Linked DNA regions of Struthio camelus. The protein of the gene in region 2 purifies or fractionates together with the protein of the main gene of each other region. This does not show direct contact. Links are inferred from orthologs where the notes say so. Each region holds a gene or a part of one and is shown on either strand. Other genes may lie near its edges. The genes, in order: AP1S2, AP1M1 and ATG9A.

The links.
Region 1: the proteins of AP1M1 (region 2) and AP1S2 fractionate together in Homo sapiens (co-fractionation; 6 studies listed by BioGRID and IntAct, counting the BioPlex papers as one, with this or other methods). This does not show direct contact. The link is inferred for Struthio camelus from reciprocal best matches to the Homo sapiens genes AP1M1 and AP1S2.
Region 3: the proteins of AP1M1 (region 2) and ATG9A purify together in Homo sapiens (affinity purification with western blotting, with the first as the bait; 3 studies listed by BioGRID). This does not show direct contact. The link is inferred for Struthio camelus from reciprocal best matches to the Homo sapiens genes AP1M1 and ATG9A.

What each region holds. Positions count from the first base shown.
Region 1 is NC_090942.1:139,270,922-139,277,915, forward strand, and holds the start of AP1S2 (AP-1 complex subunit sigma-2), read left to right. Parts: upstream 1-3,969; 5' UTR 3,970-4,300; intron 4,301-5,672; coding exon 5,673-5,851; intron 5,852-6,994. UniProt on the Homo sapiens protein: Subunit of clathrin-associated adaptor protein complex 1 that plays a role in protein sorting in the late-Golgi/trans-Golgi network (TGN) and/or endosomes.
Region 2 is NC_090967.1:5,185,521-5,193,371, forward strand, and holds the start of AP1M1 (AP-1 complex subunit mu-1), read left to right. Parts: upstream 1-4,848; 5' UTR 4,849-4,951; coding exon 4,952-4,993; intron 4,994-5,614; coding exon 5,615-5,771; intron 5,772-6,146; coding exon 6,147-6,214; intron 6,215-6,703; coding exon 6,704-6,834; intron 6,835-7,065; coding exon 7,066-7,213; intron 7,214-7,617; coding exon 7,618-7,744; intron 7,745-7,851. Other genes in the region: CIB3 (calcium and integrin-binding family member 3), read right to left, coding at 1,597-1,631, 1,939-1,989; protein FAM32A, read left to right, coding at 3,216-3,292, 3,367-3,505, 3,652-3,705, 3,893-3,961. UniProt on the Homo sapiens protein: Subunit of clathrin-associated adaptor protein complex 1 that plays a role in protein sorting in the trans-Golgi network (TGN) and endosomes.
Region 3 is NC_090947.1:28,034,128-28,041,367, forward strand, and holds the start of ATG9A (autophagy-related protein 9A), read left to right. Parts: upstream 1-4,189; 5' UTR 4,190-4,232; coding exon of another isoform or gene 4,233-4,335; intron 4,336-4,833; coding exon of another isoform or gene 4,834-4,877; 5' UTR 4,878-4,914; coding exon 4,915-5,078; intron 5,079-5,427; coding exon 5,428-5,499; intron 5,500-5,802; coding exon 5,803-5,964; intron 5,965-6,010; coding exon of another isoform or gene 6,011-6,068; coding exon 6,069-6,210; intron 6,211-7,206; coding exon 7,207-7,240. Other genes in the region: tRNA endonuclease ANKZF1, read right to left, coding at 1-54, 248-470, 686-850, 1,164-1,279, 1,714-1,898, 2,293-2,395, 2,595-2,704, 3,060-3,186. UniProt on the Homo sapiens protein: Phospholipid scramblase involved in autophagy by mediating autophagosomal membrane expansion. Cycles between the preautophagosomal structure/phagophore assembly site (PAS) and the cytoplasmic vesicle pool and supplies membrane for the growing autophagosome.

The DNA.
Region 1 (6,994 bases), on a different chromosome or scaffold from region 2:
TAGTGGAGACCTGCAAAGATACAGTATACTCTTTTGAAAAGCATGCTGCCCACCTACTCAAGAAGGTGAAGACAGTTGAAAAGGAGGGGGAGCAAAGCATTTTTTTCCAAATATTGGGTTGCTTTCCTGCAAAAAAAGCTGTTAAAATTCAATAATCAGTTGTTCCTTTGGAATTAATAACTAGTTCATGTTATAACAGCCTCTTGGTTTACCCATCATTTTGGCTAACAATGAAAACACAACAAAAAGCTATCAGGGGCTTCACATTTGGCATTAGAACAGTGCATGAAGGGCCAGATGCCAGGATGTTGGTAGTTTGCCTTATTAATTTTCATACCCACATTCCAGACAAACCTAATATATTCTAATTAATTGAGAGAAAAAAAAAAAAACAAAACCCCAAGAACAGACATAAACCATAGCAGGCAAAAGCAAGTAAATTTAATCTTATTTTGTGTAAGCTTCCTCCCTCCCTCCCTTCTTCCTCTCTCCCCAGCTCCAGGCAGTTCTCTTCTGTGTCTCAAATCATGCTGAAAATAATCTAGTGAGTAAACTCTTGGCTGGGGACCCCAAATGTTGTATGGTCAATGGATATATCCCCTGAAGACTTGCTTTAAATCTAAGATGGAATACAAAGGACTTTTACTACTATAGCCGTTAAAAAATACAGCTGTTATTAAAATAGGGGGTTATCATTCATGGTTTGGAAACTAAAATACTGAGCTCATTCTTTAAAATCCATCTTGTTACAGCTGGTTATAAAACAATAAACAAAGGCTAATGAACAGAAGACTCACTGTGTCGTGTCTAAAATTAGACTGCATGACATTTGCATTGTCATGGGCTTGTGGAATACACAAAGGCTATTATATTATTGTTATAAGCATCATATGTATCTTTATCAGTTTGTTAATTACAGCTAGTTCAGTATATTGCTAGATCAATGGGTAAGTGACAGCATAATTTCTTACAGAAAAGAAAGACGGAGTGGGTATAAAGAGGGATAATTAGTACAAATCGCAACTCTTGCAAGCAGCAAGTCATCTGAAGTTCCTGGAAGAAACAGCACAAAGAGAAAGGACAACATTACCTCCGTCACTGCCCTCCTGCTAGAGGTACTGGATCCTCAGACTGACTCAGTTTTGATCCTCACCTGTACAGCCAAAACAAACCTCATTAGCAATACCCTGCTGTTTAAGTGAGAGGCAGCATAACCATTTGTGTCAGCATAGGATAAGAGATGGCAATGTGGAGCTGGGAATAAGAGGGTTGGGAGAAGATGTGATTTAGATAATCTGAAACCACCATGGAATCACACCTTAAACTGCCTAAAATAAGCCGTCTCATTTTGACAGAAATGAGTTAAAGAACGATCGTATCAGTGGCGATACAGGCAAGCTTGAGAAAATGGCATCCTCCAGCTGGAACAGCAATGAGGAGGCTGAGGAGGGCAGAAACTGCAGCTGAGATAGACCTGGTGAGCCTCAGTTCACATCACAGTTCACACGTGCCTTATCATACACCTGAAACTGCATTTAACAGAGTGATTCTGATCAAGAGGAGATTTAAGTAAGAAACTCTAGGCTAAAAATTCTAAAGAGAAGAAATCCAGTCATGTAATTGATAGGTGGGAGAAAAACAGAACAGTGCTCTGCTGGCATTTTAAGAAACGATAAACTGAAAACTGAGCAGGAAATGTGACAAAAATTTAAAACAAAGAGGCAGGATTAAAAAAAAAAAAGGGAAGTTTTTAGACTTTGCCTTTATGACACCAAAATACATATATTTCTTGAACCATCTGGGTAGTTCTAGTGATTCCAATTAACTAAGCGTTTGTAGAATGTGTGGTTTGATCTATGCAGAAATACTTCAGTATGCTGGGAAGTGACAAATCATAATACAGGTCTGGTGTGACTCCTTCAGAAATTCAATTCTGAGCTCCCATTACCATAACGATGCTAATATAGCGGAAATAGCTCAGATAAAGAGAAGTGAAAGTTGGGTGCTGGATTATACAATGATTTAGAAGATTTATAAACACTAGAAGTGTGTATATACTCATGATGGAGAATTCATGAAGTACAGGGAGCTAAAATGAAGAATAATAAAGTGTAAATTAAGGAGAGAATTTATAAAAGCTTCCTGAACAACAGGATATTTTAGACTGTGGAATAGCCCCACAAGGAGCCAACAGAGCTGCACTGCTTGAGAACTTTAAAACTACTGAGGACAAAATAATGTACAGAAGAGTAGTTCCACAGGCAAAAGAGTAGACTGTCTGAGCTAACAAATCCATACGCATCTGTTCCTGGACTTAACGAAAGACAAGTTCAAATGAGAACAGGATGGCTGCTAAGTAAACATTAAATATGATGAGGACAAGCACCAACAATAGTAGTGCTCCTTTTCTATGTGACTCTAATACCGTAATTGCCTCATTCATTCACTTTAGTTTCACGCATGTCTCCTTTTCCCCATGTCACTTTCATCTTACAATTATAATCTGTACCATAAAATGGGAAAATGGGAAAGTAACATATCTGCAATTTTCCTCAAGTACAATTGATTATAGCATTCCTTGAAATGCCAGAAAATTGGCTTTCCTTTCAGACTATCCACATTTCTACACAAAAGCGTTTCCAGTGCTGGTTTCTGCTGCCACAGCTGTTTTGTAGCCAGAAGAATAGATTTTTTTTTTTTTAGGATGTCAGTAATAAAAAGTAATAAAAGCATGACACTTCCCAGAGCGACTGAAGCTACTCTTAATGAAGAGGTAGAGAGGGCAGCACAATCCTACTCCCTTTTTCTGCCAGTTGCTCTGTTGAGCCATTTAAAGATCACCTGGTAAAAATCACCTTGTCTGATTATTTCCATCGTTAATGTTGGCAAGGTGAAGGGCACCAATAGTGTCAAGAAATATAAGTCACTATAGGATTTTTTAATGTACTCCAGCTGAAAGAGCTGTTTCTTTCAATCCCTTTCAGACTACATTTTCACCTTATATTTTCAGCTTAGCAGCATTAAAACAAACCAACCCCCACCCAAAACAAGTCAAGCTGTTTTGCTGTGGAAAACCTCTTTGGCTGTACACAAATGAAAAAAAAAATGCATTTTCATAACTCAATCCCCTAAACATACGACTGTGAGGAATCCTGGGAATTTAATTAGCGATCACAATCAAGGTGACTTTGGGAGAAAGGCTGATGAGGAAATTCAACCGCGCCTGCTGAAGCCCGGCACCCCTCCCACCACCCCCACTGGGGCGCTTCGGCCGCGCCGTGGGCCCGGCCGCGCCCCGGCAGCGCCCGCGCCCCAGTGCCGACACCCCTCTCCTCAGGGGAAACCGCCCCCGCGCACGCCCCTAACGGCCGCCCGCGGCACCCGCCTCGCCCCGCAACAGCGCCCCCCAGCGCCCGCCCCGCCCCGCGCGCCTCCCCCCACCCCACTCTCCTCCCCACGCGGGGCCCGCACGTGCTAGAAAGAAACACCGCGCCGCGCACGCGCGGGCGGGCGGGCACCTTTCCCCCCGCCCCCCTCTCGGCTTCGGGGATGGGGAGGGCGAAGGAGGAGCCTCTATCTCCGGGCTCCTGATTGACTGATGTCATTTCCCCAGCTCCGTGCCTGGCCGGCTCATTGGCTGCTTGCGAACCGCTATCTGCATTGCGCTTCCTGGTTGGCTGTTGCCGCGCGGGCCATTGCCCTATCCTAATTTGGGCCACGCGGATTAAGTTCTTTAACCCCACCTTCCTTGCCCTAGCTCCTCCCACTACCAGCGCCAGCTCCTCCCTCCCCGCCCTCTCCCTCCCTTTCATTGGCCATCACCGGGCGCTGAGCTCCCCGATTGGGTGGCGGCGGGCTCCCCGCCGTTCCCCCACCCGTGCCTGCACCGCGCCTGCGCTGAGCTCGCAGGTTCCCCTTGCCCCTCCCGCCAGCCGGCGAGCTAATAAAGTTTGGTTTGCGGGGGAGGCGGGGGGAAAGGAGGGAAAAACCGGCGGCGCCTTCTGGCCCCGCCCACTCCGTTCCCCGCCCGGGAGCGGCGTCCGTCAGCCCGGCCCGGCCCGGCCCCGCCCCTTCCCCCCTCCCCACTCGGGCAGGTCGGGGCGGGGGTAGCCGTTGAGTCTCTCTTTCTCTCTCTCTCTCTCTCTCTCGCGCGCGCGCGCCGGGCTCGAGCCGGCGGTATCTGCCCTCCCCTCCCCTCAGTCCCGCTCGGCAGCCGTGGCGGCAGCACCAGCCACCGCCGTAGCGGTGCCGCGTCCTCCTCCTCCTCCTCGTCCTTCCTCTCCCCCCCTCCCGGGGCACGGTGAGCACCGCCGCGCGGGGACGGACTCGCCTCCCCCACCGCGCCGGGGCGCGGAGCCTGCCTGCGGGCTGCGACAGGACGGGGCGGGGGGGGGGGGCAGGTGTTCCCCCGCGCCCCCAGTTGTGGGACGCCCCCCCCCCCTCCCCGCGCTGCCCCAGGGAGAAGCCGTTAACGGCTGAGGAACGGGGCGGCCGCTCCCCGCACACACCGCGGCGGCAGCGCTCCCCGCACCCCGGACTGGGACGGGCGGAGCTGCCTACGGCCGTCGCCCCCCGCCCGGCCCAGGGAGGGGAGAGCGGGTCGGCGCGGGCCCGCACCTCTGTAGCCGCCCCTCGTCTCCGCGGCGAGGCGACGGGAGCTGGTGTCGCCCGCGACCGTTGGCGGCTGGGGAGGAGCCGCGGCGGCTGCTCGGGGACGGCGGGAGCCGCGAGGGTCCCCCTGAAGACAGGCGGGCGCGGCGGGGGGACGTGGCGCCGGTGCCGGCCGGAGTGTGTGTGTGGGGGGGCGGCCCGCGCGGAGGGACCCCCCGGCACCGCTGGGCTTCGGGGCTGCCTCTGCTGCCCCTTGTCTGTGCTGGCGCTGCTGGAACTTGTCACCCGGGGCGAGGCTGGGCTTTCTCGTGGTATTTCACGCCTGGCTGATTGCCTGGGAAACTTCCTCAGCACTGTACAACTTTGAGCAGAAAGGGTGGAAGGAAAAAAGGCTGTTTCCTTTAATGTTACAGCTGCTGGAAAACACAGCCGGCAAGTTCCTCTTAAAATGTAATTGCAACATCACTCCTTTAGAGGAAGCGAGACCTGGAGGGTAGGACTGCAGGCACAGCACTTAATGTCTACTCCTTTTGTGTAATGCAAGAGGAGGCAAGGCTTTTCTGTGCCGTAGGACTCTCCATTGGGAGGTTTAATGCCTCTTAAAGTATTCTGAGGTTTTTCGGAAAGATCTTAAGTGCAAATTGCTCCTGTTGTAAGGCTATAATCCGGTCAGTGGAAAACGAGTTTGGGTGTTTCGGGAGACGGCTATGCTGTTTTTTATCCTTGTCTGTAGTAAGTGCAAATACAACTATATCACTGCTGGACATGGTTTATCTGAAATTTTGGTTTATTCACTGTCCGGTGTCTCCGAGATCTGTTTCTGAAACTTGTGTATGCCTTCTTCCATCTTGGCTGTGACTAACCTTGTTTAGTTGAATATTATATTATTTGTATTTCCAAATCTCATGTAGCATCTGCTACTGCTTAAGAAATATTTAGTGTGGTTGCGGCTTTGGATGCCTTATCTTGCTTCCTATTTGGTTCTCCTCATACAAATCTTTATACAACTAAGAGACTGAGATTAATCCTTTCTTTCTTTTTTTCTGCTTCCAATTCAACAGATGCAGTTTATGTTGCTTTTTAGTCGTCAGGGGAAACTGAGACTTCAAAAGTGGTATGTTCCATTATCTGACAAAGAAAAGAAGAAAATCACAAGGGAACTTGTTCAAACAGTATTAGCCCGCAAACCGAAAATGTGCAGCTTCCTGGAGTGGAGAGACCTGAAGATTGTCTACAAAAGGTTGTTCTGTCTCACTAACCTCATAATTGCCATACATCACGAACAATGTAATAAGTAGCAAGAAAATAGTAAAGGTTGATTTCCCCATTCCTTCCCTGCCCCCCACTGGTTATGGAGAAGTATAGGTTCTGAGGGTTTTTCCTTGAATCTAATTTGATAACCAAGTAGGAATCATTCATGTGCGGAAAATCACTCATGCATTTAGAAAATGTACTGAAGAAAAGGGATGAGATTTCCTTCTACTTTAATAAGGAGTGGTTCGTGTTCTCTGCTTAGATGCCCACAGAAAATAAACGCGTACAAATATGAAGCATGCATGATTTAATAGCTAATAAAGAAAAACTAAATTTTATAAACATTTACCTCAGACAGTGACTTCATAAATCAGCTGCAAATTGAAACTTACTTTTAAAGGCTCAAAGAAGTAAGAATGTTACTCTTTTATTTCTGAGTAAATAGATTTTCTTTGCTATGAATACAAAAGGAGTATCTCCTAACTTGAGAAATCATGCTTAACTTTCTTTTGGTGAAAGTACTGTATACTTTTCTTTGGCAATAGCTTCATTTCTCACTTATTGCTAACTTTTCTAAGGGTATGTGGCTACAACTTTTTTGCTTTATGCTGACCTTTTAGAATGTAATGCAAAGTAGGCGTGTGAAAATACTTTTCTGCACAAATAACTGTTATTCTCGTCCTGATTTGCTAGGATGGATCTCTTCCATCTAAAGCTGATGTATGAAACCTTGAGTTAACTCCCTTCCCTGGTTATGTATAAAATTTAAAAGGTTTACACATTTTTATTTCTCTTTGAGATAGTAAATAATTTCTGTGTGTACAATATTGCTCTCTTCTCTCTGAAGGGAAGAGAAAGAGAATTGGACTTGAAATTAAGAGCTAGTAACTATTCTCCAAGAATTAGACCCTTAGATCTTGATCTGATAGAGATAGAGATATATATATATATATAAATATATATATCAGTGCATGTAGCATCATGCACATGAGTGTTACCAATGTAACTGATGGGTATAGTTCTCTTAAGCTTGTAAGAATAAGGAAGCATCCATAGGGAAGGAGGAGTAATAGTGCATAAGGTCATGCTTAAAGAAAGCATGCACAGTTTTATTCTGGCTATTGATTTC
Region 2 (7,851 bases):
AACACAAATCCTTCACACTTGCAGAACAAGTCAGTGGAACTGCTTATAACAGGTATACAGGTCAGGCAGCCAAGCCACCAGACACAGAGTATCTGAAAATGGAAGAGGAGAGGGATTGGGTCCCCCCCACCCCACCACAACCACCACCAAAGTTTCAGATTTACTTCAATAGTGCAGACAATGCTATAGAGGCATGTAGTGTATTTATGATTTATGAATTTATGATAACAAGGCACAAGACCTTCAACCTGAAGGTCCACCTAATCAGTTTTCAAATACATAAAAAGTTGTTGTCAGGCAAGAGGGATCTGTTTTCCAAGTCAATGATGAATGTGATTAGAAATAATAGGTTTACACTGCAGCATGAAAGATTTGGTGTGAACATAAGAAAAAAAAAATCTGGATGCCTAAAGCCAGAGAGATTGAGCTCTTGAATCTGCGACCAACCCTAGGATACTTTCACCCACCCCAAGTATTTTTCTGTGTTTTTTTTTTTTTTTTTTTTGTAGAACTAGGTTCAGGAGACAGAAAGTATGCACATAATCATTTGAATGAGTTTTTTACTTTTTCACCACGCTATTTTCTTCAGTTCTTGTACTAGGCTAAGGATCCTGTTCACAGCTGTTGTCAACAAAACAATAGCACAGAATGTTAAAAGGGATCCCTATCAATAATAAATGTCTTATTCATGATACAGTTATGGTTCTGGCCTCTATTTACTACACGGAAAGGCAGACAGCTTTACATTTCACATATTACAGAATCATTTGTCATTTTGTACTGAGGTTCTAATCAGGGATGCGTTCCATATAAAATTGCCACGTGTGCTCTGTCTTTCAGAGAAATTAGCAAGTAACGTGGAATGATCTCTTGAGAGATGCAGATACTTTGCCTTTATCTTTCCGTTAATTTGCCCAATGGTTAGCAAAGGCAATGCAACCTTGCTATTATGTGTGTTATTATCTGTGAAAGTACAATTTACAACAAGAGGAGAACAAGTTCAAGTTTGCAGTGAAGACTCAATTCCACATCAACAAAGTAGGGAACCTGTCTTTATCACTTCCTTTGGACAGATATTAAGTGGATTGGTCCATGAGGCCCATGAAGGCTTTGGGAAAAGTGCACCTTACAGTATCAAAGCAGAACAGTTTTCCAGGACTAATTATTTACATCAAGAGATGAAAAATCTGAATAAAATTTGATATAGACATTACTGATTTTATAAAATAGGCAAAGTATCCCACACTATAACAGCATACTTTGAAGCATTTGTTATGGAACAAAGTGAGGGAACATGAATGTCACTGAAGGCGTACAGTAAAACATAAATTGTTACATTTATTTCACACAGAGAGACTGGTACCTTAATAAAAATTTAGAGATCTGGCTCAGTTCATGACAAATGATGTACTTTCTGTATATAAAAAAGCAACAGTGAGGGTCACATTGTCCAAAGGTATGTGGAGTTGTTCTGTCCTCTATCACATTAATTTTGCATAAATACATTTTTAAAATATTTTAAAAACCACCTCATATGTAGCCTGCCTTTATAGCAATCTCTGTACCTTACACACAAAACGCACACACAAGACTCACCTCAGAATTTCTTTCCTTGTAAAGAATGTGCAGTCCTGTGAAATAAGAGAAAAGATAATATGCAATGATAGTTTTAAATGCATTGGCCCAAACTTTTCCACTACAGTGACTTAAACACTCATATTGTAATGCAAGTGGCCAAGCATTAATGTTCTTTTCTTGGCATTATAATAATGATTATTTCATAACCCTTCTTCCTCTTGAGGCAAAATTAAACTATGTTACTTAAACCTTTGATGTAACAATACCCACACTTAACAATTTTTGAAAAGATTGTTTTAAAAACACATCCTTATTCAATGTGCTGTCTAAATAGCCATTTAGTTTGGCATTGTTTTATACCTGATATGCATCCAGTTGCTCTGGAGTGAAAATGGTTTGCTTGTTGCCCATTTCTGGCTCTGAAGGCTGGTTCTTGTCCCATCATTCTTTCCTCAAAGTTACCTTTATAGGAGGTCTGGATATTCAGACATTAAAAGCTGCAACAATGAGGTTCAGGTAGCAGAGGATCAAGTAACCAGCTTCCCTATTGCATGGGCTACAAAGAATCATAATAGGAGCATTTCATCTAATCTTTAGTTTGGCTACTTAAGGCTCTTACCCAGCATCACTCACCTGTCTCCTGTGTGCACAACAAAGACTCATATTACAGTATTTGGACAAACAACTAATAGCTTCTTGGTCGTGTCTTTGAAATGGTAAGTAGACCTTGTAGATTGCTTTTTTTTGTTTTTTTTTCATTCTTTCAAATATTTTAAAAGACCTAAAAACTGTTTGGAATGTCTGTCTTCTCTAAGAATTAGCATTAAATACTAGAAGTAAGTAATAATGAAAGTAACCCCCCCACCCCCGTCCTTTCTTTCTGAATTTTCTCTATAATATTTACTGTACACTGCCCACAGACAGCACATGGCAGTTTGTACTGGAGATAGTATCTATAAAGCCCAATCACTCTATTCTGCATTATCTAGTAATATACATTATCACTATTTAATGGTTATTAGTGTGGCATGCATACATATAGACATATGTGGTTTTTACACTAAAATACATGTCAATATATGATTTGTCTATAAAAACCGATATGTGATGTTAAAGGTTACATGAAATATGAAACTTAAGGGTCGAGGGAATAACTGACTGCATTTCTATGGCACGTAGCAGGCTGCATAATAATACATGTTCAGGGGGCAAGGCGTAAAACCTTCCTTCTCGGCCGTTCATCCAGTAAATTGGCAGCTTTAGCAGCAAACGAAGCCCTGACGCCTGGTTTGGAGGATGCATCTGTGAGGTGGAGACCCCGGAAAGGCAAAACTATCCTCCCGCCTCGGGGGAGGAGAAACGCCGGCCTCTCACTCACCGCCCCGCCTTGAAATCAGTAAAAATTATTCAGAATCGGTCCGTTGGGTGTGGAAAATAGGCGGCGGCGGGAGGAGGTTTCCTCAGCGGCGCTTCTGCGCGGCGCCCTCGGGGCGGCTCCTAACGGTTTTCTCCTCACAGAAAAAGGGGGAGTCGCTCCTGGCGCCCGGCCTCCCGCGCGGCCGTTGCCGGGGCAACGTTGCGGCGGCCGCCAGGGGGCGCCGCAGTGCGGGAGCGGCGGCGGCGGCGCTGCGCGGGCCATGGCGGACTACGAGGCGGTGCAGCGCGGGCCGCTGCGGCTGAAGGGCAGCGGCGGCGCCCTGGGCGCCGGCAAGCGGTGAGGGGCGGCGGAGGAGGAGGAGGGGGCCGGGGTTGGGGGGAGGCTCGGCGCTGACCGCCTTGTGCCCGCAGGAAGAAGAAGAAGGCGAAGGCGAAGGGCCAGATCCTGGAGCAGATCGTGAGCAGCAAGAAGCAGGAGGAGGAGAAGAAGCGCGGCCTGGACAAGCGGACGCCGGCGCAAGTGGCCTACGAGAAGATGCAGGAGAAGCGGGTAGGGCGACCCGGGCCGGGGTTAAATCCGGCCCGGCGGCTCGGGCTGGGGCTTGAAAGGCCCAAACGGGCCCCCCGAGGCAGCCCCTGAGGGGGCGACGAGCGCGGGGAAGTAACCGCCTCTCCTGTGTCCCCCCCCCCCCACAGCAAATGGAGAGGATCCTGAAGAAAGCGTCTAAAACCCATAAACAGCGAGTGGAGGTGAGAACTAAATTCACTCCTTACTGCGACCAGCGTGTGTTTGTCAGCACAGAGGATGGCGCGGGCCCGGAGGAGCCCTTTTGCCTCTGTGAAGCCCCCAAGGTGGGAGGCAGCGGGGCCCTGGCGCGCCTCGGCGTTAGCGAAATCATCAGACGTTTCATGTTTTCGCTCTCTTCCTCTCCCCTAGGACTTTAACAGGCACTTGGATACTCTGACGGAGCACTACGACATTCCTAAAGTCAGCTGGACGAAGTGAAGGGGCGGTTTTCTTACAAGGCTTTGGAGTTGTGTTTGTATCGAACAGGGGTCGCTATGTAAATCCGTGTATTCTCGGTATTGAATGTTTAATATATCTTCTGAACGTTTGTGACCTTGCGCTGTCTTATTTCACTGTTTTTGTCTTTTACACCAAGTAGTCAACTAAGCCTCCTCTTCGCTAGTGAAAGCTCTGGTTTATATAGGTGCAGTGGGCTGTTTTCTTAGAGCTCGAAGCATGGCTGAGTCCAAAAGCAATTGGTAGGAGCCAGCTGGAAAATGTTTCTATATTAGTTTGATACTAACTGTTCTCCTTCTTGGAACGGAAGAATCTCGGACAGTCTCTTCACTTAGCTTTGCTTGTAAATTATAGGAATGGTATCAGTTGTTTGCACCTAGAGTTCTTTCAGAGCTCAGGGTGGGTTCTGCTGTATTTTAAAATCCTCTTGTAACTCTGATGTAACTTCTCATTAAAATGCTTTTTTTTTTTTTTTTTTTGGTGTTTGGTGACCTGTACAAAGAGGTAAGGGCAGCACAGTGATAAAACAGGTGTTTGCATGGGGCCTTTTTCCTGCGATTTCTATCTTTTGTGCACAATTCCGACTCTCTTCCGAGGGATGATGTTCAAAACTCCAACCTGCCTCTTAAAAACGAGGTTGGCCTGCCACGGCTGGGTTGGCCACCAGCTTCCACCCCGTGGCCTGCAGCCCCTCACCTGGGTGTTACTCCTGCCCAACCCAACCCCCGGGGCCATCTACTGAGCGGCGGACCCATTTCCAGAGAGGTCTGAACCCAGCCACCCCCAGGGCCCTATTTAGGCGACGCGCGGGCAGCGCGGTGTCCTTCCGCCGCGGCGGCCGGGCGCTGCGCTCGTATCCCTCCTCGCGGCGGCCGGGCCTCGTTGCGCCGCTTCCTGCCGGAAGTGCCGGCGCGGGAGGCGGAAGTCGGTCGGTCGGTCCGGAGACGGGGCGGCCCGGGCGGCGGCGGCGCGATGTCGGCCAGCGCCGTCTACGTGCTGGACCTCAAGGGGAAGGTGAGGCCCGGGGCCAGCCGAGGGTTAGACGGGGTGGGAAGGCCTGCGGGGTCCTTCCCCGCGCCGCTGAGGGGGCCTGCGGGGCGCCGCCGGCCTCGGCCCGGCTGCTGCTGGGGCCTGTGGGGGCCGCGGGCCCCTCAGCGCCGGTTTCACTGCTGGGCTGCGAGGGGGGCAGTGGTGGCTTGGGTCTGTCCTGGGCCGTTAGAGACGCTGGGGGGGGGGAGGTTTGCGGCTGTCCCACCTGCCAGCTGGGCTCCTGGGCATCCCGTCTGGGGTAATCACGCTCTGCTGTAACTGGAGGTCGTTTATCTCCTCCGATTTAGGTGCTTTCCCCATCTTAAAAGCTGTTACCAGGGTGTGTGCTGCCATAGGGGGAGAGTGAGTCTAGAAAACATTAATGCATGACTTCTCAATGGAAAACTAGTGCTTGCACTGTAGTCCACAAAGTATTTTGGAGTTGTACCTTGCACGTATAGTCTGCAGAGTGGCTAGGGTGAAACCAACTGATGTCTCTCAAGTTACTTAAAGAGGCTTTCCGAGGATTCGTTTGTGTTGCTTCTGGATGGTAGCATCACCTGTAGAAAGAGAAAAAGATTAAAGGCTTTGTTGTTCTTTGTGTAGGTTCTCATCTGTCGAAATTACCGCGGCGATGTGGACATGTCAGAGGTGGAGCATTTTATGCCAATCCTTATGGAGAAGGAAGAAGAGGGGACGCTTTCTCCTATTCTAGCACACGGAGGAGTTCGTTTTATGTGGATTAAACATAACAACCTATATCGTATCCTTTATATTGCAAGTCATTTACATACGCTGATGTTAATTGCTGATATGTTATTTTCACAGTTTATATCTACATGCAAAGCTAGAGAATAGGTGAAGTTGTATAAGGAAGACTTTATTAAATAAAATGGCTTTATGGCTTAGATAGTGTAGTGTGCACTAGTAGCACAGTGCATAGGAAAGTATTTATATTAATTTTACTCTAATAAACTAAGTCTGAATCTTCTCATCTAACGTGACGAGAGATACTGTTAACTAAATCTTAATGTTTTGGCCAACTGTAATTGCCATACCATAACTTTGAAAATGCACTTGGTAAAAAAATCTTTCGAATGGTAATTTTGAATGCATATTCCTGAACATCCTTTATCAGTTGTTGCAACTTCTAAGAAAAATGCTTGTGTATCACTGGTGTTTTCATTTCTGTATAAAGTAGTTCAGGTGAGTATGAAATTTTAAAACTAACTTCTGCCTATTTTCAATTAAATCTAAATCTGATCTAAATAAAAGTGCGTAGAACTTTCACTCTTTTAAAAAGAGCACTGTGGTAATAGCACTTTTAATTTGTTTTTGGTTATATTATAGAAATGTCTTTCTAATGGCTAATAATAGAACGGGTAGCTGAGTAGGCAAAGGATGTGACACAATGTTGTGAGTAGTCGCGTAAGACCTGAGAACACAGAGGAGGATTAGGAATTTGGTGCGTGCATAGTGTCATAAAATGCAGGTTTTATGTTTGGTTTATCTGTACTTGGCGTGAAAAATACTTTCACTGGAATAAGTATTTTTCATAATAGTCAGAGGTATGCCTAAGATGCTGTAGCTCCCTTTTAAATGAGGTGTGTTTTAGCAAGTATGCATTGTGAATATGCTGTTGTTCCTCAATTAATACCCTCCTCCTTCACTTCCTTTCTCTGACTGTTGTTTCAGGTTTTTTCTGAATATTTTAAGGAGCTGGAAGAAGAGAGCATTCGGGATAATTTTGTTATTATTTATGAGTTATTAGATGAACTTATGGATTTTGGTTATCCACAAACCACTGATAGTAAAATTTTACAAGAGTAAGTAACAGTCTGCCTCACTTTCAGTGACAGATTTCTTAGGTAGCTTTGAGTATTCTGCAACATACAAACCAATGTTTTGGCTTGATCTATTCGCTAAAAAATCAAATACTTCCTAAGATTTAGGTTTGTAGCTTCAAACTTCTTTTATGTAAATCTGACGTTAAAGATGCTTCAAAAGCTGTAAAGTGTAATTTTCATGTTTTCTATCTCCATTATGTGTTTGTAAAGGTATATCACTCAGGAAGGTCACAAACTTGAAACTGGAGCTCCCCGTCCACCTGCCACTGTTACTAATGCTGTTTCATGGAGATCAGAAGGGATAAAATATAGGAAAAATGAGGTGTTCCTGGATGTTATAGAATCTGTTAACCTTCTGGTGGGTACCTTTTTCTTGAACTTTTACTGAGAGTTGTAGTAGTAAGTGTTATAAAGAGCTTACAAGGCCTGCAAGGGTACAATAGAGAGTCAAACTAACTGTGGCTGGGTGCACTGTGATGCTTAAAACAATCTGTGTGTCTTAAGACTGAGTATGCATAAAAGCACCCAGTAGATGAATAGTACTTTACTTGGATGTATCTTGTTTCTGACCAGTCTGAGGCTAGCCTCTGACATGTTCTTTGCTCCTTCTCCTTCCATCTGTCCTCATCACCTCCCTGATTCTACTCCATGACTTCTCAGGAGAAAGAAATCCAAGAAAATTGGGATGGCTGGCGGAGTGTTGTTTGATCTCGTGACATATGACATCAGGGCATTCTGACCTTTCTTTTCCTTGCTCCTCAGGTCAGTGCCAATGGAAATGTATTACGGAGTGAGATTGTTGGATCCATTAAAATGAGAGTCTTTCTCTCAGGAATGCCAGAGCTTCGCCTTGGTTTAAATGACAAAGTTCTCTTTGATAATACAGGCCGTGAGTATTTCAATGATACCTCTGTAATCATCGAGAATGTTGTCTGAATTCTTAGACTTTGAAATGCTTGAGGGTCAGGTGAAAGGATTTGTTCTTAGAAGATAAAC
Region 3 (7,240 bases), on a different chromosome or scaffold from region 2:
CCCCTTCTGCAAACCCTTCTGGGGGGACCTAGTGATCTCTTCCAGCGGCGTGTCCTTCCCTGGGCAACAGGGGTGCTCCCGTCATTGCCTGGTGACAGGGAGTGCTCCATGTCTCCAGGGATGTAGGGCAGGAGGTTGCCACCTCCGCTGCATGGTGCGGCATGCCTTAATGCACATGGGGTTATGTGCAAGGACCACGTCACCCCATCTGCTCTGACCCACAAGCAACAGGGCTGGGCCGGCTCACCGTACACCTGCAGGCTGGCCAGCACAGCGTGGACTCGCAGCACCTCCCGCAGGGTGGCCCTGCGGGTGCTGAGTGGGATGTGGCAGACACGGGGGTCACCCTGGGTGAGAGGAGGGTTCCTGCCGCCAAAGAGCAGCGTCCGGTTGTGGCGAGGGGCCCGGAGGAAGATGCGCCGAGCTTCCCGTAAGTGGTGCGCCCAGCCTGCCAGCAGGTCCTGGATATCCTGGGGAGGAAGGAGTGAGCACCGTGGGGTCCTGAACCGCACAGCGTGGGCAGAGACAACTCTAAAGCAGGAACCGTTTCAGGACAGAGCAGCCCCAACTGGATCCTGGCCTCCCTCTGGAGCTCACACCCCACGTGTGACTTCCAACAGCAGCTCAGTACCACCCCACAGAGCCGGCCATGACCACGTCCCCCTGCCAAGGGCCCAGTGCTGACCTCATCCTCACCCTTAGCAGCGCGGCCTCATTGTAACGCCGCAGCGAGGCTCCGGCTGACCTGGGTGCTGCAGCTGGGGTTTGGGCATCCCGTAGGCTCTGGGACGTGCCCCGCCGGGCTCGCACTGTGTAGCGGTGGAAGGTCTTGTGCTCCTGCAACTGGGGGCTGTGGAGAGTGGCAGGCATGAGCAATGAGGCCCCACGCGCAAAGGGGAGGAGAACTGATGCTTCCCAGGACCCTGGAAGAGGTGTTGCCCCTGCCAGTGCCCCATAAGCGCTTCTCTTGCAGTAAGACTGAACACAGCCAACTCTCAAGCAAAGACCCAGAGCTGCTGGTGCCCAGGGTACGTGTAAGCGCTGCGATGGAAAAATGGGAGTTGGGGGTGGGGTAGCCATCATCAATGAAGGGCCTATCCAACACCCAGCCGCACTTGTTCCTGCCCAGAAGGGTGACCCCAGGTCTGCTCCCCCATACTCACCCCTGGAAGACAGCTCCTGCGAAGTGTCCACCACCCATCATCAGCACAACCCAGCACGTGCTTGCACTGAGGCTCTGGAGCGATGCCACCAGCTCCGCTGGCTCCTCACTGCCACCCTGAGACACAGACCCTGCTGCTAGTACCTGTGGGATCACCTTACTACCTCTTGCTGTCCTGTGCGACATGGGCCAGCCCCTCTACTGGCACAGGGACAAGGGCTGCTACAGATAAAAGGGAGCAGGGTTCACCCTGTCCTACCCATACTACTGGGCTGTGCTGGGGGTCTCAGCTACTGCTTCAGCCCTGGTTTGAGCAGGGCTTTGCTCTTACAAAGGTCTGTCCAATTACAGGGAAAGACGGGAGGTTGGTCTTGCTGCTGGGAGTATCCCAGAGTCAAAAACAGATGATCAGAGAGCCTGGGGCTCTGATCTGGCACCAGAGGCCACCCTCCCCTTCCAGGGACATGGGGAACTCCCAGGCAGATGTCTACACCCCAGGGTCATCCCTCTTCTCTGGGGTCCCTCTCCCAGCAGGCTGAGTTGCGACTTGCCTTCCCAGTGCCCAGCACGCAGCGGTAAGCAGAGATGAGCTGGCCCTTTCCGTTCCTGAAAAGCACCTTGTGGGAGCGGAGGACCTGGGAGGTCTCAGCACTATTGCTGACAGGGGGCAGTGACTGTGACTCACTGCTTGAATCGGAGCTCTCCAGATCAGACCCTGAGATGCTGGAAACATCGCCTGCAAGGAAGAGGAAGTGGGGCAGTGGAGCCGGGCAGAGATCAATCCACAGCTGTCCCCAACTTTGCAGATAGCTCCAAGGGCTGACTCGGAGCCCCAGAAACGTCCTGTCCAACACCTTACACCGTCACAAGGGGGCTGTAGGCTGGGGAGAGATCCGTCTGGGGCTATAGATCCCAAGTACAGACAGACAGGGGCTCAGTGGAACGTACCTCCCTCCCAACAAGTCAAAAGGTTCAAGGCCCAGGAGCAGAGCCAGGACCCCCAGGAGACTCTATCAGGGCAGAACAAAAGGACCCTAAACAAGCAGGGACAGCTGGAGGCTCACGTCCCCAGCTTGGGCTGGACAGCCCGGTGGCCTCTGGGCCCTGCTGGGGGCAGCGCCATCGCTCACCTGCGCAGGTCTTCTCTTCAAACCCCTCTGCTGGCAGTGCTGGGCGCCCCAGGAGCCGCTGCTTCAAGTTGAAGCGGTGCCAATCGAGACGGTAATGCTCAGTCTGGGGAAGAAAGAGGGTGAGGGGGGTCCAGCAGGGTACACAGGCCCTTAGGCAGGGATGCAGGCAATGGGGCGCCAAAGAGCAGCCAGCACTGTGCTGCGTAGCCGTGGGGCCGAGTCTCCGCAGCAGGACCCTGCAAGCTGTGCCAGAACTGCTCAGCGCTGCCACTGCTGATGCTGGCAGCTCGGCCTCGGCTCACCTGCTCCTCCCGGCTGTCAAACGCCTGCGCACAGGTCAAGCAGTACATCCGCTCGGGCACCTCAGGGACCCCGTGGGCTCTCTCCTCACCACCAGCAGCTGCGCGTTTCTCTAGAAGAAGAAGTAAGAGCTGAGCCACAGGCAGCTATTCATGCAGCACCACTGCAAGGGCTGAACAAGGAGCAGGGACTGCTGGGTCTTCTCTTGGCCACACACAATCCTGGGCACCCAAATAACACTACGGCAGTAGGAGGAATTTCAGAGACCTTGGAGGGACAACTATAGGTCCACACAAAACACGTTTAACCATTCACCCTGCAGCTCTCACAGCACCAAGCTCCAAGTAGGCACCCAAGCTGTATTGCAGAGTACGAAATCCTCTTCTCGTGGTCTGGGGCAGAGAGATATGAGCTTGGCCCAATAACCCCCTCATGCTACTTCTCTGCTCCCCTGGAGCTAAACCCACCATGGTTTACAGGCCTCGGGTCTGTGACCGATGCATCCACCGAAAACCCAGTGACAAGGGACAGCCCATACACGAAGGCGGGGTCCTGGGCAGCCTCGAAAATGGATCTGTTCTCTGGGGCAGGCATTGCTGCTGCTCCTGATCAGAGGGGATAGCGCTGAGGGTGAGCAACAGCCCTGTCTCCAGGACGCTTCCCAGCTGGAGGAGGGCATGGGAGGGGGGTGCAGAGGGCACAGAGGACAAGGACAAGGGAATTTCCAAACCCAGAAGCACCAGCAAGGCTGGGACCCCAAAGCCTTCTTCAGCCTCTTCCCCCCCGGGGGATCCCAACAACTCCAACAGGTGGTGCCCCCCAAAAGGAATCCTGTGCCCTCCCCCACAGTGGCCAGTGTTTCCCTCCTCAGGACCCTGGTTTGACCTCCCGGGATCCCCCTCTGCCTCTGGCGATCCTTGTTCTCCCACAGCCAGTGCTCACCACCACAGAGCGTCCCTGCCCCATGGCACCTCCCCACCACAGGGTATCCCTGCTCCATGGCACCCCCATCCCTCTCCCCCTGTGGCCGTTCACGCCCTGGCGGGAATGTCTCTCTGGGAATCCCCCAAAGGGAAATTATTCCCTCCGGGATCCACCCCCTGGATGTCCCCCCAGGCTCTTACCCGCTCTCCGGGATCCCCCCTCCCCGCAGCTCCTAAGCCCTTTTTTCCCCTGGGGATTCTTCCCGTGGCCATTACTCCTCACCCGGCGTCCCTCTCCCCCCCGGGTCCCTCTCCCCCGCGGCCGGTCCCTCCGGGTCCCTCCCCCCCGGGTCCCTCTCCCCCCGGGTCCCTCTCCCCCCGGACCTCTCTCCCCCCGGGTCCCTCCCCCCCCCGCGGCCGGTCCCCCCGGTAACCGGCCTCGCGCACCGCCACGCACGCGCCGCCCCCTGCCCGCTGTCCACCCCGGCGGCCCCGCCCCGGAAGCGCCCCTCAGCTGCCTTACGCCACATCCGGCCCTCCGACGGGAAGCCGCTAGGCTCAGCCCAGCCTCCGGGCCGCCTGCCTTCCGATTGGCCGTCGCCGGCCCCGCCCCGCGGCTTCGATTGGGCAGCGCGGCCGCCAGTCGCGGGGCGGGCGGGGCCGGGGCCGGGGCCGGGCCGGAGCGGGGGGCCGGGGCGGCGGCGCGGGGGCCCCGCCATGGCCCACTTCGAGACGCAGTACCAGCGCCTGGAGAGCTCCTCCACCGAGTCCCCCCCCGGCGGCGGGGACCTGCTCGTCCACGTCCCCGAGGGCGCCAAGTGTGAGCGGCGGCGCTGGGACCGGCACCGGGCGTTGGGGCCTGTGACGGGGCCTGGGCACCGGGGGGCGAGGCGGGGGCGAGGCCGCGGCCTGAGAGCGGCAGAGGCTCTGGGCCCCGGGAAGGGGCCGGCAGAGGGACTAGGGACCGGGGGGCGGGGACTGAGAGCGGCGGAGGGCTGGGGGCCGGCCGGCCGGCGGGGCGGGCTCTCCCGGGGAGCTTGAGGCTGGGCAGCTCGGGGGACCTGGGGGCTTTGAGGTGAAGGGGGAGGACCCGGGCTGGCCCTGGGGGCTGGGGATCAGCGGGGCAACCAAGGGCCAAGGGGGGGTCTGGGAGTTGGAAGAGAGAGCCTGGGGGGAGCCAGGGATGGGGGGTTTGTGGGGCTGGGTCGGGTGCCCGGGAGGGAGACCCGGAGAGGGGGGAAGAGGGGGTTGTGTGTGTTGCGGGAGGTAGGTCAGGTGCGCCAGAGGCACTCTCACCCTGCGTTTCTCCTTCCTTCAGCTCCATGGCATCATATAGAGAACCTGGACCTTTTCTTCTCTCGTATATCCTTCCACAACATGCACACTGTGTTGAGAGGGCATGCGCTCCCCCTGCCTTGTGCTGTGCTCCCCATGCTGGCAGAGGTGCTTGGTTTGGCATAACTGGGGGTCCAGGCAGCATCTGCTCCTTTGCTTAGGACACTTCGTGCTTCCAGAAAGGCTGGGGAAAGGTGGAGCCCCTGTGCTTATGGGATGCAGTGGCTAGTAAGTGCAATTTTGCCTGTCTCTGTATTGCCCTGTGCCTGAGATCTTTCCCTGCTGCCTGCCCGCCCATCCCTTGTGCAGCCTGAGGGCAGGCTGAGTTTCTGTTCTCTTCCTGGGCCAAATCTACTTCTGGGGGAAGAAGGGGGTTTGGGTCAAGCCGGGTCCTCTTATTCCAGCTGTGCTATACCTGGAAGGAGTGTGTTTCCCTTCAGCGGAGTACCAGCTTGCTGGTGAATAGAGATGGGAGGGGGTTTCCATCGCTGGTAGCGGATGGTGGTGGGACGGGAGGTCTTTCAGGTCACCCTTTGTCAGAGGGGAAAGCTTTCCAGTCTGTTCTCCTTGACTGTAGCGCTCACGTCTATAATCTGCATCAGAAGAATGGCTTCACCTGCATGCTCATCGGGGAGATCTTTGAGCTTATGTAAGTGCAGGCTCTTGTGCCTTGTAGGCTGTTGAGGCTGTGACGGGAAGCTGGGGAATGGCTGTGGGAGTGTCACGAGCCATTCCAGACAGGTGGGCAGGAGGGTGTCCTTCTCAGATGTCCTGTCCACCTTTCATTAGGGTTGTCCATGCCCAAACCCATATGCCACTTTGAGGAGGTGGTGCTATGAGCTTTCCTGGCACCATGGCTGTGGGGCTGCCTGACTTGCAGCTCTTGTCTGCCATGCCTCTGGGCGGGAGGTGGATGAGGTGACTCCTTCATGGCTGCTCCCTGTCTTTGCAGGCAGTTCATCTTTGTGGTGGCGTTCACCACCTTTCTTATCAGCTGCGTCGATTATGACATTCTCTTTGCCAACAAAGCAGTAAATCACAGCCAGCACCCAAGTGAGCCTATTAAGGTGACGCTGCCAGATGCCTTCCTGCCTCCACATGTCTGCAGTGCAAGGTAGGAGCAGCTGAGGGCACGTTAGTCACTGCTCTTGCTTTCTCAGGTACTAAGGGCTCCTGTCCAGGGCTTGACTCCAGCCATCTTCCTCTTCTTGCCTGCAGAATCCAGGCAAACAGCTTCCTCATCTGCATCCTGGTGATAGCTGGGGTTTTCTGGATCCACCGACTCATCAAATTTATCTATAACATTTGCTGCTACTGGGAAATTCACTCCTTCTACATCAACGCCCTCAGAATCCCCATGGTAAGTAGCTGGGCTGAGGGCCCTATGCAGGGATGCAGAGGAAAACAAGAGGTCCTTGCTGTGCAGTGAGAAGCAGTTCACCTCCACCCCCCTCTGGAGCCAGCTTCTTCACGAGTCTTGTGCCAAGTGCTCTTCCTTCTCCTCCAGCTCTTCCCAGGGTTACATAACCGTGTTGATCTCCTTTCAGCTTTTCCAGCAGCCAACTTGCTGCACGTTAACTCTTCTCTGCCTAGCCTGTCAATGTGTGTGCTGGCATGTGCATCTGCCATCTGCCACCCAATATGTTTATTTTTATCTGTGATGGCCTTTTCTGTGATGCGTTTCAACAGCAAAGGCATAAGCAAGGGTATTCTCATACCTCCTGGGAGGCGAGTAGAATCGTCTTCTGTCTTTATTGATGAAGAAACTGAGGCATAGAGCTACTTAGTTGGTGAAGAGCATGCTGGAGATCTGTGCCAGAGATGGGATTTGAGGCTTACACCTACAACCTGCTGCTAGATCTTCTCCTCTGTGTGAGGACGTCAGAGGGTGTGTGTGCTTCCTTTTAGGAGAGGCTGTTGAGAAAGATGGGCTGAACCAAAAGGCTTGGTTTGTCCCCAGCTTTGCCGCAGGCTGCTTCTGGGACAATGGTCAAGTCCCTTTCCCTGTCCCTACTTCCCTTCCGACTCCAAGCATTAGGTATGCTTTCCAGCTTCCCAGCTCTGAGAGGAAAGGAGAGCTCACGTGAACCTGGGGCTGTATTCGTGCCTCCAAGATAGCTGGTGTGTGAGTGGGTGGGAAACAGTCATCTGCACTAGTCCAGGGGTAGAGGGCACCGGGGCAAGGTATGGGGTTTGCCTGCCACAGGCTGAAGCAATGTGGAAAGGTGCCTTGTGTTGCGTGTGCTTCACTGGTACCCCAGGAGGGTGTGCTGGGACCCGCTGTTAGAGCAGGGTGCAGCCCGACCTCTGTCCCCAGACACAACCTGCCTCTAACCTTGCTGCTTCCCCCTTCCAGTCCAACCTGCCCTACTACACCTGGCAGGAGGTGC